Linked DNA regions of Schizosaccharomyces pombe. The gene in region 4 interacts genetically with the main gene of each other region. Each region holds a gene or a part of one and is shown on either strand. Other genes may lie near its edges. The genes, in order: mad2, pof3, cdc10 and cds1.

Evidence for each region.
Region 1: mutations in cds1 (region 4) and mad2 impair growth when combined (synthetic growth defect), as found in Schizosaccharomyces pombe (2 studies listed by BioGRID, with this or other methods).
Region 2: mutations in cds1 (region 4) and pof3 impair growth when combined (synthetic growth defect), as found in Schizosaccharomyces pombe (2 studies listed by BioGRID).
Region 3: of cds1 (region 4) and cdc10, changing one suppresses a phenotype caused by changing the other (phenotypic suppression), as found in Schizosaccharomyces pombe (2 studies listed by BioGRID).

What each region holds. Positions count from the first base shown.
Region 1 is NC_003423.3:3,292,440-3,295,756, reverse strand, and holds mad2 (mitotic spindle checkpoint protein Mad2), read right to left. Parts: upstream 1,483-3,317; coding exon 1,413-1,482; intron 1,372-1,412; coding exon 1,225-1,371; intron 1,179-1,224; coding exon 784-1,178; 3' UTR 562-783; downstream 1-561. Other genes in the region: nrl1 (NRDE-2 family protein), read right to left, coding at 1,725-1,891, 1,936-2,846, 2,885-3,317. UniProt on the Schizosaccharomyces pombe protein: Feedback control that prevents cells with incompletely assembled spindles from leaving mitosis. It interacts with the anaphase promoting complex/cyclosome (APC/C) thereby inhibiting APC/C-dependent proteolysis, a step required for exit from mitosis.
Region 2 is NC_003421.2:1,344,717-1,348,947, reverse strand, and holds pof3 (F-box protein Pof3), read left to right. Parts: upstream 1-1,672; 5' UTR 1,673-1,820; coding exon 1,821-3,554; 3' UTR 3,555-3,670; downstream 3,671-4,231. Other genes in the region: dolichyl-diphosphooligosaccharide--protein glycotransferase subunit Wbp1, read left to right, coding at 1-579, 710-1,126; mitotic cohesin complex non-SMC subunit Rad21, read right to left, coding at 3,890-4,231. UniProt on the Schizosaccharomyces pombe protein: Has a role in substrate recognition in the Skp1-Cullin-1/Cdc53-F-box (SCF) ubiquitin ligase complex. Required for the maintenance of telomere length and transcriptional silencing at the telomere. Also required for chromosome segregation.
Region 3 is NC_003423.3:2,760,241-2,765,746, reverse strand, and holds cdc10 (DNA-binding transcription factor, MBF transcription factor complex subunit Cdc10), read left to right. Parts: upstream 1-1,946; 5' UTR 1,947-2,156; coding exon 2,157-4,460; 3' UTR 4,461-4,581; downstream 4,582-5,506. Other genes in the region: PAN complex subunit Ppk26, read left to right, coding at 1-148, 196-273, 380-427; mmp2 (endopeptidase catalytic subunit), read left to right, coding at 751-992, 1,065-1,214, 1,282-1,432; GARP complex subunit Vps52, read right to left, coding at 4,582-5,506. UniProt on the Schizosaccharomyces pombe protein: Major component of the cell cycle transcription factor complex MBF (MCB binding factor, also known as DSC1), that controls G1-S phase specific gene expression. Involved in the control of rRNA production, via interaction with pol5.
Region 4 is NC_003421.2:738,854-743,172, forward strand, and holds cds1 (replication checkpoint kinase cds1), read right to left. Parts: upstream 2,486-4,319; 5' UTR 2,378-2,485; coding exon 2,120-2,377; exon of another isoform or gene 2,029-2,119; coding exon 1,980-2,028; exon of another isoform or gene 1,913-1,979; coding exon 1,881-1,912; exon of another isoform or gene 1,836-1,880; coding exon 1,751-1,835; exon of another isoform or gene 1,683-1,750; coding exon 1,423-1,682; intron 1,358-1,422; coding exon 1,148-1,357; intron 1,110-1,147; coding exon 901-1,109; exon of another isoform or gene 829-900; coding exon 549-828; 3' UTR 508-548; downstream 1-507. Other genes in the region: THO complex subunit Tho3, read right to left, coding at 40-313, 376-402; cab5 (dephospho-CoA kinase), read left to right, coding at 2,892-2,928, 2,977-3,650; ribosome biogenesis protein Urb1, read left to right, coding at 4,151-4,181, 4,224-4,319. UniProt on the Schizosaccharomyces pombe protein: Has a role in the DNA replication-monitoring S/G2 checkpoint system. It is responsible for blocking mitosis in the S phase.

The DNA.
Region 1 (3,317 bases), on a different chromosome or scaffold from region 4:
CAGAAATCCTCAAGCTTTTAAGAATAAATCTTTAAGAAATTTCAAAAAAAAACTAGATAGCCCCAAAATTCAAGAAGCAAAGAGAAAAGAGGAACCGTCCAAGTCTTGGTATTCTCTGAGGAAACGATGATTCACACTCAGTACTAGTAAAGGCTAAGTAACTGATGAATAGATGTCATACATACTGAATCGTTATTAATAGATAACGCGAGTTAATGTTTATTAGTGATAATGTTATTAAATACGGAAAACTCCGTTAACAATAATATTCCAGCTTCTCAACAGTCTTAAAAAAATTGAGGAACACGTCTTGACTAAATTAGAATTTCTAACTTTGATATTTAAAATGATATACACATTGTTCAATTCTGTTAAATTATTTGCTACTGTGTTCATTTTGTAGTCAGAAACCTACCTCAAGAGATGAATGTCGTTACCTTGGCATATAGAATCTTACCTCGCAAATGCTACCATCAGTTTAAAATGTTGATTTACTGCCGCAAAGTTTCAATGAAAACATCATTGCGAGCTGTTGCTATAGTGTATTTTGTTTAATGAATAAGAGAAGATGATTATATTTTAAAGAATGCAAAAGTATTATTAAATAAATGGATAGAATAGAGATGCGTCACAAAATTATAAATATTGGACATTAAAACAAACATAGGATTCACCGAATTATAGTTAAACAATATGGCCGGAATTTTGAGATTTATAGAACACATCAAAGCTTTGTTTTCTATTATCTCATCTAATAGGTAAGGATCATGCCAAAAAAAACAACTAAGGATTCACTCGATATGCAACTTGACAATCAATTTTGTGCATACTCGTACTAAAACTTCGTAATTGAACTTGTTCAGCATCTCTTAAAATCCTAGGGTCACTGTCTACCCAATCTGTTGGAACTTCGCTGTCTTTATCAGCGTATACCAAAACGTTAAACGTACACTGTTCTTCTAGTTGAGGCAAAAAGGTCACTGTAGCAGTGATTTGACGAATTAGAGCTTGAATTTCTTTTTGTACTCGCAGTTCATCTTCTTTGTTGCCAATGTTCTGAAATTGATCAGCTGTGTCAACCATCTCCACATTAAACTGCCACCGCTCTAAATCTTCACCTGAACATTTACTAGTAATTACCAAAATCAGTTTTTGAATTTTTTTTGCAAACATCCATTCTAAAAATTTGTTAATTCCAAAAGTGATAATAGAACAACAACTCACTGTGTAACTGAGATACAATTTTTCGAATGTAAGTCTTGACCTCTTCATCTACACTGACAAGCATATTTAATCCATATTTCCGAACAACTTTGAAGTCTTCTGCTGGGTAAATTCCTCGTTGAAAAAGGATTGAGTTCACCGCATATTCTTCATTAAGTTAGCATGGCATATTTGAAACATTTACAAACCAAAAAATTCGCTAACAAGTTTGGAAGAACCTTTCAGTGAAAAATTCGTTCTTATGGGAACGCTAGACATGTTGTGTTGTAGATTTTTGTAATAAGCAATAGGTTGTGTAGTAATTGAGTAGGTACTGCCATGATGGTTGCTTAGAGGTACCCTTTCAACGTAAAAGCAACCATATAAGCATTTAACAAACAAAAGTGAAAACTTTAATAATAAGACTACTAAAGCATTTACGCAAACTTGAAAGTAACTAATCTGTCATTTTAAACTCATTTCACTATCTCTATCATTAAAAGTCATTGATCGTAATAATGTCAGTTTGGGGACAAAATAAGTTCATCTCCTCTTTCAAACTTTAAAACATCTCTCCTTATTTCGTTATGGACTCTAAAGCCTTTTTCCAACATGATTATATAGCAAATAATAGCCCGACTCTCCATCTCTTTTTTCAAGAGCAAGTCTATAACGTCCATACAAACCCCTAAACTTAGTCAGTGAAATGTTCTATGTTTTTAATTAACTTACCTTTATTACAGGGGCAGGAAGCCAATGCTTTGGTGGTAATCGCCGAAACCCATTCAGTACCATTTAATCGCAAATTGAGAATCTTTAAATATATTCTCCAAAACTTGGCGACGGATTTCAACTTTTCATTATTTAGAGTGATATCCAAAGTCCTTAAAAAGTACTGTGAGTTTGTTGGCTCAATCTGTTGAACGGCAACATAAAAAAGGTACCAACAAGCTGTAACAACAGCATTTGAAGCAGATTTTAAAATTTTCATAGCCCTAATTTTTGGTTTGTTCTCTTGTCTCAACTTAGATTCAAAAAATATATAAACTTCCCATATAGCCGTATTTGCACTGAAAAGTGTAACTCCCTTTTCAAAAAAAGGTCGAACCTTGGGTAGATTATAGAATTGAAGAGTGGTAGCTTGATAATAAAAAATCAATGAACAATAAGAAAAATAGCATTCCATTTCTGAAGAAGCCCCCCATCCATAGCTTTCGAATTTTTGAATGCATAAATACACACAATTATCCATTGAATCCATATCAGTACAGTGTGTCCATATAGTATAGATAAGACAAACATACAGCAATTCTTCCTTGCTGGCGCAATTTTCCAACATACCAAATAGCATTTCGGATGCTCGATTATTATCGCTAGTTAAAGATTTATCACCAGGAAACAACAGGCATTTTATAATAACTAAGCATCCTTCAGTATCATTAATAAGTAGCTTTCTAAAAGCCCAGTTTTTGTATACATTTAAATTATCAATGTAGCGCAATTGGGAAGCATGGATCTGAAAAATTGTTTTAAAAATTGTTTCAGCCATAGTAAAAGCACCACTTAAGTGTTCCAATTGAGCGTAAGTGTTCCAAACAGACACTGAACTATCGTATTTTTTGAGAATCTTCTTTACAATTTTACTGAATTTGGTTAGAAGGAAACAAAAACATCTACTTACTTCACTTGGGGTTTCTCCTCACTTAGGTTCTTCGTCTCCATTTGCTTTAAATAAATTAAATAAACGCTCGCTAAATACTCATCGTCCGCCGAAAATACTAGTTGATGAAAAGCACGCTCCATTGATTCCTTCACATGATGTGCAAGGTTGTAATCAAATAACTTGAAATTTAAATTTTTAAACGACATAAGAGAAATGAAGAGATCAATGTATGAAGGTAGTATACTACAGGGAAATTGAAAGCTGTTTTTCTCAGCTATCTGTCCATTTATAAAGGATTCACTGGAAGCCATGCCAAAAAGCAAGTTGTAAATTCCTTTGTCATAAGAAGCAAACCATGAGTTTGTTGAAATCCCCGGTGGAAAAAGAGGTACTCCGCAAAATGCAAAAAATTTATACTTGAATGCGAAAGCAATCGTTTCGCTTTCAAAAC
Region 2 (4,231 bases), 610 kb from region 4:
TCTCAACTTCCCGAAGGAATAAGGGAGCTTGGAAGACAACTGGATATGTTTCTGGCCGAACGTCAATCTGTCGTTGTTGATCATTTTAATCACGCTGAAGGTTCTGACGATATCATTCTCTTGGATGGAATATCGGAAAACCCATATATCATTTCTGATGAGACCCGGGCTGCTGGCCCTATTTTATATAAAGGGATTGGCCATTATTTAGGTCCAAATCCACAGACACAACCTATTCTTCGTGGTAATCCAACCTCTTATATTTATAACACCAAAACTGAGGCTGAGGTCTCAAAGAATCCTTGGGCTGCTGGCACTCAACTGTTTTTGGTCAGTGTTTTGCAAAGTAGCACCGGCGAACGTGTTGGTCTTAGTGGCAGTATCGATATGTTAAAAGATGAATATTTGTCTCCCCAAAGCCCCTCGTTTTCCAAATCTAATTTTCTTTTTGCTCGTGATTTGACAAATTGGGTTTTCCAGCGCAAGGGTGTGTTGCAGGCCACTAACATGACTTATGGAAAGGTCGCTGAGCCATTAGAGTCTCGCAATGCTTCTTGTTATCGTATTAAAGATGAAATGGTAAGTTTTTTGTTTGTATTTAAAAAGCCTTTATTGATATTATGTCATAATTTAATTTTAGCAAGTATATTGTTTGAAGCGTACTTGAGCAGCACAATATTTTATCTCTTTCAAGAGTACTAACGTTTAGATTTTCTCAATCGACATATCTCTTTTAGAAGACGGTCAGCAAACTCCATACGTTGCAGATGATGTTCAATTGGAACTTATCATGTTGGACCCTTACTATCGTGTCAATCTCGTTCCAGTTCCATCGGATAGTCAAACATCTCAACATTATGAAGCTGTGTTAGTTGCGCCTGACCACTACGGCGACTTTACATTTAAAATCGAATACAAGCGTCCTGGCCTTACTCCTATTGAAGAGAAATCTACCTTTACACTTCGTCAATTCTTTCATAATGAGTTCCCTCGATTCCTCCCTCACGCCTATCCTTACTATGCCTCTTGTTTCTCTGTATTGGGTGCCTTTTTATTATTTTGTGGAATTTGGCTTCTCCAAAAACCCGCTAAACCTGTCGTTCCTTCTGCCAAAAAACAAAATTAGTTTAAATGAGTAACCTGACAACTGAAATATTTTTATCAGCTGCCTAAATACTCTCTTTATAATATAATGATGTTGGCCATATTTGGCGCTAATGAATCATTTGTTCCTACTGGGTTCTGAAAAAAAAGCGAAAACTGCATAATTTCGATTTGTTCTCGATTTCCATTAAATTTCATAGCTAATGTAAAGAAGTATGCTGTTGAGTGCGATTACTTTAATTTTCGATGAGTCGTATATGGTATAGGCTTCAGTGCAAAATAGTAAACACCATATAAGAAGCTATCCTTGCTTTATCTTTTAATCACTTTATTGTTTTGTACTCAATAGTTAAACCCAAATATTTTTTGATCGATTACCGTATGCTAATTTTGCTTGAGATTGTTTACGTGTTTTAACATATGAAAAGCATAACAAATAAGTAGATACTTTTTTTTCCAAACTTTTGGTTACATGCTTATTATTAGTATTTTTGCACATTCAATTTCTGTTTAAATGAAATTTGAAGGCGCTAGCTTTAACTATCCTTTAACAATTCTAACTTACTCCATAAAGCTTGCGACTACGAAAGCATAATATATACCTCAAAAAGGATATCGAGGTTCTTAAAATACGGTTCATTGGAAGCTATATGGGAGGTTTATGTTTATGTATAGAAAAAATAAATCGTTGGGTATAGAAATTAAGATTTGGATTCATGAATAACTATCAAGTAAAAGCAATAAAGGAGAAGACCCAGCAATATCTCTCTAAAAGGAAGTTTGAAGATGCATTGACATTCATTACTAAAACCATCGAACAGGAGCCCAATCCTACGATTGACTTGTTTGAACTAAGGGCTCAAGTTTACGAAAAGTCAGGTCAATACTCACAAGCAGAACTTGATGCTAAACGGATGATTCATTTGAATGCAAGAAATGCTAGAGGTTACCTACGCTTGGGAAAACTTTTACAGCTTGACGGCTTTGATAAGAAAGCAGATCAATTGTATACGCAAGGCCTGCGAATGGTGCATAAAATGGATCCCTTGAGACCGGTATTAAAAAAAGTAAGCCAAAGATTGAATGAAAGAATTCTTCGGACCAGGCCGGTACTAGATTTGTTTCGCATTCTTCCCCGAGAAGTCCTATTATGTATTCTACAGCAACTAAATTTCAAAAGTATTGTTCAGTGTATGCAAGTCTGCAAACACTGGAGAGACTGTATTAAGAAAGAACCTAGCTTATTTTGTTGCTTAGACTTTTCATGCGCCTCTCCTCGAAGTGTAAACTCTAGAGATCGAAACGTTATGGCTGTTGCTCGATACTCTGTTTATTCAAAAGACAATATACAGGAAGTAATTGGCTTAGAGAAGCTTGGTATATTAACACCTACCAAAGCCTTACTTCGTTCAGTCAAATCACTTAAAGTCTACAAAACCATTTCACCTCTCCACACTCAGTCAACGGATAAATTGTATACAATTTGGACGCCATTTTCTGAACTTCACTACTTTTATTGTGCTACTCCTATAACATTTTCCATAGCTTCTAAGATTTTATCTTGCTGTAAGAAACTCAAGCAGGTTGAGCTTGTTGACTTAATTCCCGATTTGATATTTGATTCTATGGATTGGGATAAACTCTTTAATGCAGAATCTGTACCGCTGGCTCTTAAATCTTTGACGTTTATCCGAAATCAAAAGTTTCCCTTTCACCATAAAGAACAGCAATTTCTTAAAGACTTGCTGTCTGCCAGTCCATATTTAGAATATCTGGAAGCCTCATATCAGTCAGACCTAGTTGCTGCAATAAAAAAATATAAAATTAATCTCCGATCGTTAATTATCATTGATGAAGGAGTATCGAATACTGTTAAAGATCTAGCATTCCTTCCTCAATCTCTTACCACGTTAATTGTGAAACCCTGCAATCCTGCATCTACAATTTTATGTCCATATTTATTCCCTACAAATGTCCGGATGGAATCACTAATCAACTTAGAGTTATTTCTTTATCTTCGTTTATCTCAAAATGATATCGATAATGTTGTCAAATTTTTGACTTCTTGTTACAAACTAAAAAAGCTGGTTCTACACGATTCGCTAGCATTGGCCCCCCATTTCTTTGAAATATTTGCATCTTTACCGGAACTTGAGCATCTTGAGATTCCTGATAACGTTGCTCTTCAAAATAAGCATGCAATACACATTACTGATTGTTGTCCAAATCTAAAGTATGTGAACTTTTCAAATTCAATATCCCTCGATGGATCGGGATTTATAGCAGTTTTACGAGGACTGAAAGAATTAAAACGTATAGATATTATTAATTGTGATTCTGTTTCTAGAGATGCAATAGATTGGGCGCGCTCCAAAGGTATGCAAGTTACCGTAGCTTCCTCGCTTCCAAATTCTCAACCATTGGGTACAAAAAAGATACGCCTAATATAATATGATCATATTGTCTTTATATATTCAATCCTAGTAAACCCGTATCATCGCATTGAAAGGAAGATTTTTAAGAGATAGATCAATCATTGAGAATAAATTAAAAAGCGCGTAAGCTATTTCTAATCATAACTTTGTGTTGAGCTGATAATATTACATACATCCAACAGTAATATCGTAACTCGGAAAAAGAAAGACATACAACTCGTGATTCCAAAAATAAAATAAAGATAAAAGAAAGCAATGAACAATATTACTGTCATAAAAATCTATTTCGTGTAAGTATTCACACTTATTTATAGATCTAATTGGATTTTGAAAAAATATTAACCGACCTCTCATAGTGATGAAAGTAGCATTCCACGTTTAGCAGTAAGCGTGATTTCGTTCTGAATGGCAACATCCTGCTTGACAGATATAACATCCTTCGTCGCTAAAACGAGGACATCAAAGAAAAGTTGAACAGCTTCCTCTCTATTGCATCCCGCACTAAGAGTTTGGAAGGATACTTTTTCACCTTCAGTATAAGGATCCCACTTATTGCGTAGAGAATCTTTGGCTGTTTGTGAACTAGGAAGGGCCTCAGATACCGAAGAGTCCAATCGTTCGCTTCCCAGCAAATCGGCCTCGTCCAGCATTACGGGAGGAGCGTCAAAAAGTGAATCATCGGCTGATTCCAA
Region 3 (5,506 bases), on a different chromosome or scaffold from region 4:
TAATAATAGAGCTTCTCGTGAATATCCTATCGCACGAGAAAAAGAAATTTCATTAATCTACTTATTACGAGATTATCTTTTCCATCAGATAGATGAAGATGAGTGTCCTGTGATAGATTTATATCAAGTGCTGAATCGCCTGGGAAAGGTAAGTTTTTTACATTTTTCTCATTATTGCATTTATTAATTCATTAGCTTGATGCCGGTATAAATCAAGCCATCGCATTAATTTCCCGAGATGAACTTGATTGTGTTTCAGTTTCTTATGGGGAGGTAAGTATTTGCTCAAAAAGCCATAGTGGGTGCTTAGTAAATTAGACTACTTTTCCACACTATATAGCCTGTTTGTTTGCAAAATTACTAACAATAACAAATGTAGCTAAAAGCTTGGTTGGACAACGTTTACGAAATGGAAATAAATTCTTAAAATAAAACATTTTTCTTTACAGAATATTTATTTGTTTTTTTGTATCTATTACCATGGTTGTTAATTTAAGTAAATAATAGTTTTCGCTATAATAATATTAGAAGGAAGCTAAGCTTAATGTGGTTTTGAATTACCTACTGCAACACACCGTATTGAAACAAAAACGATCAGGAATAGAAGCCTGACACTTATCAGATAAAATTCATTAATACGTTTTCCTGGTTTAATTATTAATTACGGAAACTCCCATGCTTGTTAAGGTACATACAGACGGTTAATCATAAACTTCTTAGAGGAGAGAGTTTAGCAGTTGTCCTCAAAAAATGGCAAACCCTTTCGTTCGAAATCAATCTTTTAAATCAGTATTTTTTAAAAATTTAGTCGGAATTACCCTATGGGTACCCGTATTAATGTTCGTTGAACAACATGTAGTCAGCGTCGGTACAATTGAAGGTAGATCTATGAAACCAGCCTTTAACCCTGAGACAAACATGCTGCAGAGAGATAGGGTACTACTTTGGAAATGGAATAAGGATTACAAAAGAGGAGATGTAGTTATACTACGGTAAGTTCTTGGATCGTTGCAGGGTCTTTCGGTACTGAGTTTCCCTTTTTATCGTTACTAATAAGCAACAAGCTCTCCAGAAAACCCAGAGGAACTATTGGTAAAAAGAGTTCTAGGAGTAGAATACGATATCATGAAAACGAGACCTCCTAAAAAGTTGTCATTAGTACCCGTTCCCGAGGGACATGTGTGGGTCGAAGGCGATGAACAATTTCATTCTATGTAGGTTTCCAACAATTGTTTTTTTACTTTTTCGTTTTCTTCTATAGAGATATTAACTAGTTTACAGTGATAGTAACAAATTTGGCCCAGTATCGACAGGACTCATCACTGCCAAAGTGATTGCAATTTTGTTTCCCTTCTCTCGTGCAGGGCGTATTGATCATGAAGGTTTCCGAAAGAATGCAGTGTTTTTAAGTGGAAAACGTTCTGTTAAGTAAGCTGCACCACAGTGAACCTGTTTCCTTGACAGTTTAGTTCCATGCTGGTTGGTGCTTATTTACATTTCTTTTAAGGAACACGTTATCCTTAAATTTAATTTATTTCGACGCGTCGCGTTCTATATATGACGTCATTAATATGTCTATCTATTTACCTATTTGAAAAAGATGGAAGTTGGAAGCTACTTTGTATTAGAAATACCAATAAAAAAATATAATTTTTTCATACTCAACATCAAAACTTTTATTTAGGGAAAATTAGAATTGACTGAAAAATCCGTCTCTTTTGCATATCCCGAAACAGTAAAGTCGTTGAGTATAGCAAAGTTGGAAATTTTTCAACAGGGTATTTGAAATGAGAAAGAATTCCATTTCTAAGTAGCCTTTAAATAAAACCCCCAGAAGAAACGAACATTGAAGTAGTCCTTTGTTTTCCTTAGGAAGCCTCATATATCGTTACTTCGAATACGGTCTAACGCCGTACCAAATGTATACAGCTGCGTGAACCTTCCCAGAGCGAATTTGTGTATAACACGAAATCCGAAAAAATTACTTCTATTTATTTGAAAAAGAAAGGAATTCACAATCTCTTAAACAAACCAAGTGGTGAGGAGCTCGAGTCTTCTTTCATGGTCAGTTCAGCACCCTTATTTTCGAGAAAAACGTGCTGCCCTTTATAAAAAATTCGATATTTTTTCGGCATTTTTTATTTTAATATACTATAATGGCTTCAGCCAATTTTATTCGCCAGTTTGAGCTGGGGAACGATTCTTTTTCATACCAAAAACGCCCAGAGGATGAGCCATCACAACCCCTTTCAAACAGAAATATAAACAAACTAAACGATTCATCTACTTTAAAAGACTCTAGTTCAAGGATTTTTATTAACTCCCAAGTTTTACGTGATGGCCGACCCGTAGAATTGTATGCTGTCGAATGTTCAGGCATGAAATATATGGAGCTTAGCTGTGGGGATAATGTTGCTCTTCGAAGATGTCCAGATTCTTACTTTAATATCTCTCAAATACTTCGACTTGCTGGTACTTCGTCATCTGAAAACGCCAAAGAATTGGATGATATTATCGAGAGTGGGGACTATGAGAATGTTGACTCCAAACACCCTCAAATAGATGGAGTATGGGTTCCATATGATCGAGCAATTTCTATAGCAAAGCGATATGGGGTTTATGAAATTTTACAACCATTAATTTCTTTTAATCTTGATTTATTCCCCAAATTTTCAAAGCAGCAACAAATCGAAAGTTCTTCAATCTCCAAAAATTTAAATACTTCTTCTTTTAATACGCGATCCCCTTTGAGGAATCATAATTTTTCAAACCCTAGCAAGTCTTCAAAGAATGGGGTGCACACTATAAACAATATGCAGAGTTCACCTTCACCTTCTTCCTCTTTCTTACTACCTTTAACTCAAATTGATAGCCAAAATGTTAAACGCTCTAACAATTACCTCTCCACCTCTCCACCTATCCTTGAACAGCGTTTAAAACGGCATAGAATTGATGTCAGTGATGAAGACTTACATCCCTCCTCACAGTTAAATGATAATGAGGCCTCTTCATTGTTTCCAGATACGCCAAGGTTGAACCATTCACTTTCTTTTGTATCCTTGGTTTCTAGTCTTCCTCCACTTGATCAGAATATTATGCAGGATTATCATACATCAAAAGACATTTTGACCTCTATCTTTTTAGATGTAAACTTTGCTGATTCCAGCGCCTTAGAAGCAAAGCTGTCGGACTCATTAGATTTGGATGTCCCCATTGACGAACTTGGACACGCCGCTCTGCACTGGGCAGCAGCCGTTGCCAAAATGCCTTTGTTACAAGCCTTAATACATAAAGGAGCTAATCCTTTACGTGGCAACCTCACAGGAGAAACGGCATTAATGAGATCGGTTTTGGTAACCAATCATCTCAATCAGAACTCTTTTGGTGATTTACTAGACTTGCTTTACGCATCTCTTCCCTGTACAGATCGAGCTGGACGGACCGTCGTTCATCACATTTGTCTTACTGCAGGTATAAAAGGCCGAGGTTCAGCATCGAGATATTACTTAGAAACCTTATTAAATTGGGCAAAGAAACATGCAAGTGGTAACAACGGATATATGCTGAAAGACTTCATAAACTATTTAAATCATCAAGATAAAAATGGGGATACAGCTTTAAATATCGCAGCAAGAATTGGAAATAAGAACATTGTTGAAGTTTTAATGCAAGCCGGAGCTTCCGCTTATATTCCTAATCGTGCAGGGTTAAGCGTAGCAAATTTTGGAATTTTTGTTGAAAACGCATTAAAACAACCCGAAGACTCAAAACAAACAAAAGTTTCCCTTATGAGTGAAAATCTGTCCAGCAAAGAAAAGACTGCTGTCCCTCCTCGTCAAAAGAGTAGAGACATTATCGCCTCTGTGACCGATGTAATATCTTCTCTGGATAAAGATTTTCAGGATGAAATGGCTGCAAAACAGTCTATGATTGACTCAGCCTACACCCAATTGCGTGAATCTACAAAAAAGCTGTCCGATCTTCGTGAACAACTACACGTGTCCGAGACGCAAAGAACTTTGTTTCTTGAATTAAGGCAACGTTGTAAAAATCTTATGACTTCGATCGAAGAACAGAAAAGTGAATTAAGTAATCTTTATGAATCTTTTGATCCCAATGGAATACACGATTCATTATCATTGGATGCTGACGCTCCTTTTACTGTCAATGAAAACAACAACAAAAATTTATCTATTGCTGAATTGAAGTTTCAAGTTGCTGCTTATGAGAGAAATGAAGCCAGATTAAACGAATTAGCGAACAAACTTTGGCAACGAAATTCCAACATAAAATCAAAGTGCCGTCGGGTTGTTTCCCTATGCACCGGTGTCGATGAATCTCGAGTGGATTCATTATTGGAAAGTTTGTTACAAGCCGTGGAAAGTGACGGTCAACAGGGAGAAGTAGATATGGGTCGAGTTGCTGGATTCTTACGTGTTGTTAAAGAACATCAAGCATAATATTGCTTTTTGTGGTTTACCACTAAAGTGTCCTGAAATAATTAACTACTTTAATTTTTTTCTTAATATAGAATCCTACCAAATGAATAAAACGTAATTTATTATATGTTAATAATCTTGGCTATTGGAAATTAGTTAAATTTTCATTAAGCTTTTCGAAATATGTTTTTTGCTCTATAGCTAAATTTCCCGATACGCCGCTAAGAACAGTCGAAATGAGGGTATAATTATTGGACAAAAACCTACTTTGTCTCCTTTTGTCATTAACTGTTTTACACAGGTTTTGTAACATGCTCACATAATCCTGAGCTAGTCTTGAAGCACTTCGTGCAACAGGCTCGGCTTCTACGACATTAACACTTAGCATCGAAAGGCTATAAAGTAGTTCAGCTACTCGCTGCGAAAGTGGATGAGGTCGCGAAGTGATTTCTTCTGGCTTCACAGATAAGTTAGTTTTACGGAGTGACTCACAGTGCATGTCCATGACAGCTTGAAAGCGAGGCCACAGAAAAAGAATCATGGAGTTATAGTGTGGCTCAATAACAGGCACTATATTAGTTTGCGCCTGTAAAGCTAATTTTTGAGTAAAACGAATGGACTTCAAAATACCTATGCAATCGATACTGCTTGATATCAATCCTGTAATGTATTTGCGTGAAAAATGTAAAGTTTTTTCAAAGATAGCGGCAAAAACGGTAGCCTGCTGATCTTTAGAGAGGTTAAAGTACTCCAGCAAAAAAGCATATTCAGAAGAGACGTGTTCCGTCAAGACTAATTCCCATGAGCAATAAACACGTTCAATATATTGTGGGGAAGATTCAATATGATGCATTGTAGATGCTGTCAACACAGAGTTCATATCAAAATCCTGAGGGCGCAAGTTTACTGAGAGCATTTGATTCCCGTAAGATTGTTGTGCTCCTTTGGAAAGGTTGAAGAGTCCTTTCCGATCCTCTTCAACGCGAATAGTTTCTCCCTTAAGGACATGAACTTTGTCCAAAAACCTAGAGTACTGTTCGAAGTGGTATAGATAAAACCAATTCATC
Region 4 (4,319 bases):
ATAAATAGTTAACAAACAGTCAAAGACTTCATTGCATACTTCTAAAGTCCCAGAAACGGATCATTTTCCCAGCATACACAGCCATTAACCGATCAGAATGCGTAGGATCCCATACTAGTTGTTCGACAAGACCATATCCTCTGTTCCCTAATTCAGTAGTAAATTTAAAATCCAAACGATCTGAATTCCAAACAAGTACTGATCCTGAAGATGAAGAACTCGCAAGTCTCGAGCCGGAAAGATTCCAGCCTAGGGAACGTATAGGTCCCTGTTGCCCTTGTAAATCTCGAGTTTTCAATTCGGGAAACTTTGGCTAAAAAGAAAAAAGAAAGTTTTAGTATTTTATGCTCTAGTTTTTATAAATCATTAACATACAAGCGATTCTGTAACTGAAGCACACATGGCAAAGATCGCGTCGAGACGTCCAAAGGGATAGTAGTACGTGGACAGAGTGGTTAGTGTAAACTTACTGTCTATTTACAATATTATAAATTTGACGGTCTAAGTATAAAAATTAATTATCATTTAGAATACTAAATATTAATAATCTAACTCGAAGAATTGAGCTGTTCGGTGGCCTCATGTTCAGACGATGATGGTGGAGTACGATGTTCGTGTGTGCTCACAGTGTAAAACCAAGGATGCTGGAGAGCTTCACTTTCAGATATTCTTTTCTCTGGATTAATTTCAAGCATCCTGTTGATTAAATCGATTCCCTCTTCTGAAATTTCGTTTTCTAATAAAGGCTCTATCGGATATGCACCTTTTGATATCAACTCAATACATTTTGCTTGTGACGAAGATGCAAAAGGAATAGACGCAGTAAGCCTGTGAATTAGTAATTGGAAAAAATTAAGGCATGAAGGTTCATTGCTAATTGATTAAAGCCGACAAACTTACATCACATATAAAACACATCCCAAACTCCATATATCAACTTTATCATCATAACCTCCGTCCAAGTTGACGTTTTTTGACTTCAAAACTTCCGGTGCTAGATAACCCATTGTCCCGCAAAATGTTTCTAAAAAGGTTCCCGTCCCATGAATAACTTTAGCCAAGCCAAAATCAGATATTTTAAGATGGAAATCATTTGTTATAAGAATGTTCTACAAGTTAGACTTTCTTATCAATAAACAAGATATACCTCGGGTTTTATGTCTCTATGTGTCACACCCTGCTTGTGCAAATGTAAAAGCGTTTCTAAAAGTTGTTTGAGAAGAGGTTTACAGTCTTGTTCGTCGATGGAGCCATTAGCAATTAAAAAATCCATAAGATCCCCACCCTCAACATATTCCATAACAATAAATAACTCGTCATCATTTTCAAAAATTTCATGGCATTGTACAACTCCTGGCTAAAAGATAAGTGTTAGCTAGGAGTTTTTCGTATAAAAAAAGGTGAACATAAAATGATACTCACATGGTGCAAAGATTTTAATATATCAATTTCTCGTTGAAACATTTCAGTAGCTCGCTTTTCCGAACTTGTCAAAAGGATTTTTCGTTTGTTGATAATTTTAATAGCATACCACTTGCCACTATTCACTTCTACCGCTAGCTTGACAACTGCAAATGTACCACTTCCAAGTGTACGAATAATTTCGTAATGACTGTTCTCGGATTTAATCATGTTTTTCTGGGAATCTCGTGAATGTTTAACTGGTACCTGGCACAAAAAAGCTATAAGACTGTAAGCAAACTTGAAGTGAATTCTACGTCAACAATCTCCTTCAGTGTAAAGGACGTACAAATTTCATCTTTCGGCACACCTAGGCCAATTCGAATTTCATCTCCGTTTGACAAGATAGTTCTACTATTCTTGGCAAGCCGTTCCTAAATGACGTCAGTAAATTGTAAACGAATTAAGCTCTCGCTTACAAAATTCAGAAATGTTCCATTAGAAGAGTGGTCTGAAATTGTTAGAAAAGGTGGAAGAGGCAGAAGACTTTAAAAGATTTTTTAATCCTTTAGACTTACCGTGTAAAAAAACGACATTCTCAGATTCATCGGAATCATTTCTATGCCCCTGGGTCATTTCGTTAGATAATTATGTCTTAAAGAGATTGAAGTTCAATTAAAACTAAACGAGTTCAGCTGGCCACTATTATTTTATATACCTGATAGATTTCAAAATGAAAGTTGCTAACTCTAGGTCCGTTTAAAACCACTTCACAAGATTTATGACGTCCAAATCTCCAAAACCCATTGTGCACATCTGTAGTAAGAGGAATCACTTCTGTCTTACCATCAAGCATGCGAGTCATAACCAATTTCATAAATACATTTTCGTTGTTAACCACCTGTTTGGCTATGTTCTGACTAACATGTAGTGGTGCCTCTTGAGTAGCCTGCGTAGCTTCTTCTGGTTCTTCCATAGTATCTTAAAAACAGAAAAACTGGATGAATTCTTTAACCATGTATATCAGTAAACACAAATAAACGTGCAAATGAGTGATCAAGCTTTTAACAGAAGTAAAAAGACCAAAGAAGCAGTTATCATGTCAGACGAGGGCTTATGATTTACTGACTTCGCTTTAAACATCGTTATAAATTTTACGATATAAAATGTATCATAAGACAATAATAACGAACTGTTGCAATACCAGATTTTTCGCGAAGCACGAGTAATATAAACAATGTTTCATCCACCTACTTTACTGTACGTTATACGTAGTGAGGATTAAATGTTAATTGTTAAGTAGTAGTAATCCCTATTTATATTTTTTTGGTATACGTGAAGGTTGCCATCTGTCAACATTCCTTTGTATTTCAAACTTCGACTTCCGCGATTGAAGACTTTGTTCTACGGCATTAAATAGTTTTCTGATCTCCTTAATTGTTACCATTATTCAAAAATCTTCTATACCAAAGCAAGGAATAAGAAATATAATGCTGATTCTTGGTTTAACCGGCTCAATTGCCACGGGTAAGTTATCAAATAACAATTGGTTTAATAGTGGTTAACCTAGTTAAGGGAAATCTACAGTTTCTCGCGAGTTTCAAGAGAAATATCATATAAAAATTATCGATGCTGATGTGTTAGCTAGAAAGGTGGTAGAACCGAATACACCTTGCTTAATAAAAATTCAGAAAGAGTTCGGTAATGAAGTATTACATGAAGATGGCACTTTGAATCGAGCAAAGCTTGGCCAGGCAGTATTTCAAGACGCAGGAAAGAGGTCACTTTTGAATTCAATAATACATCCAGCAGTACGTTTGGAAATGCTCAAAGAACTGCTTCGATGTTACGTACGGGGTTACAGCATAGTTATTTTGGACGTTCCTTTGCTTTTTGAAGCTAAAATGCAATTTATTTGCTGGAAAACGATCTGCGTGTCTTGCGATAAAAGCATTCAAAAGCAACGTTTGCTGGCACGTAATCCTGAGCTTACTGCAGAGGATGCTGAAAACCGAGTACAAGCGCAGATGCCTCTTGAACTTAAGTGTCAGCTTGCGGACATTGTAATAGAAAATAATTCGGATCTTGAGACCTTATATGAAAACATACATAATGTCCTACCTTTAATCACACCTTCCTATTTTTTTACCTTACTATGTTTAATTCTACCGCCATTGCAAATAACTTTACAAGTTATTGCCTTTGTCTCGCAGAAGAAAAAGGTATCTGAATTCAGAAAACATATATAATCCTTTTTTCCATATTCTTTAATTTCCTCGTTTGTTATTTAAGCCAATAGTCTTAATGTTTTTGCTTATAATTAGATCATTTTCATAACTTATCTCAATATCTTGCCTCGAGCTTTCTATATAAATTCACGAGTATATGTTTTATCATGATTTGAAATGAGAAATTAAATCTTTTCATGCGCATACAAATAGCTGAACACTACAATAATGATTAATGTAGAGGTTCTCGCTTAGATTTCTGGGTTTTAAATAAGAAATCGATTGCGTTCCTTCTTTCATTGTCTGTATACTTGGGTATTGAACTTGTATTAATCAATCTTTGCTACAATGCGTGACTTATATTTATGTCAAAGAATAATTAAATTTTTTTTGTTAGTTTCGTTGGGTTAGCTAATTTTTTGATTGATATATTTGTTCACGTATTTACAATTTACATGTTCGCATCCACCATCACTTGAACACCTTGTCAGTAAGTGTTCAGTAGCCAATTTTCTGGCAAAATGGAATCTGGATCTATTGATTTGGATAAGGGTGAGTCAATTTAGTCATTACAATTATGCTAACTCCATGTAGAGATAGATGAATTGAGCAGGGTTTTATTAGAGCATCCTGCTCATGTGGAAAAAGTTTTAAAGACCGTTGAGTTCGATAAATCTGCCCTTCGTTATA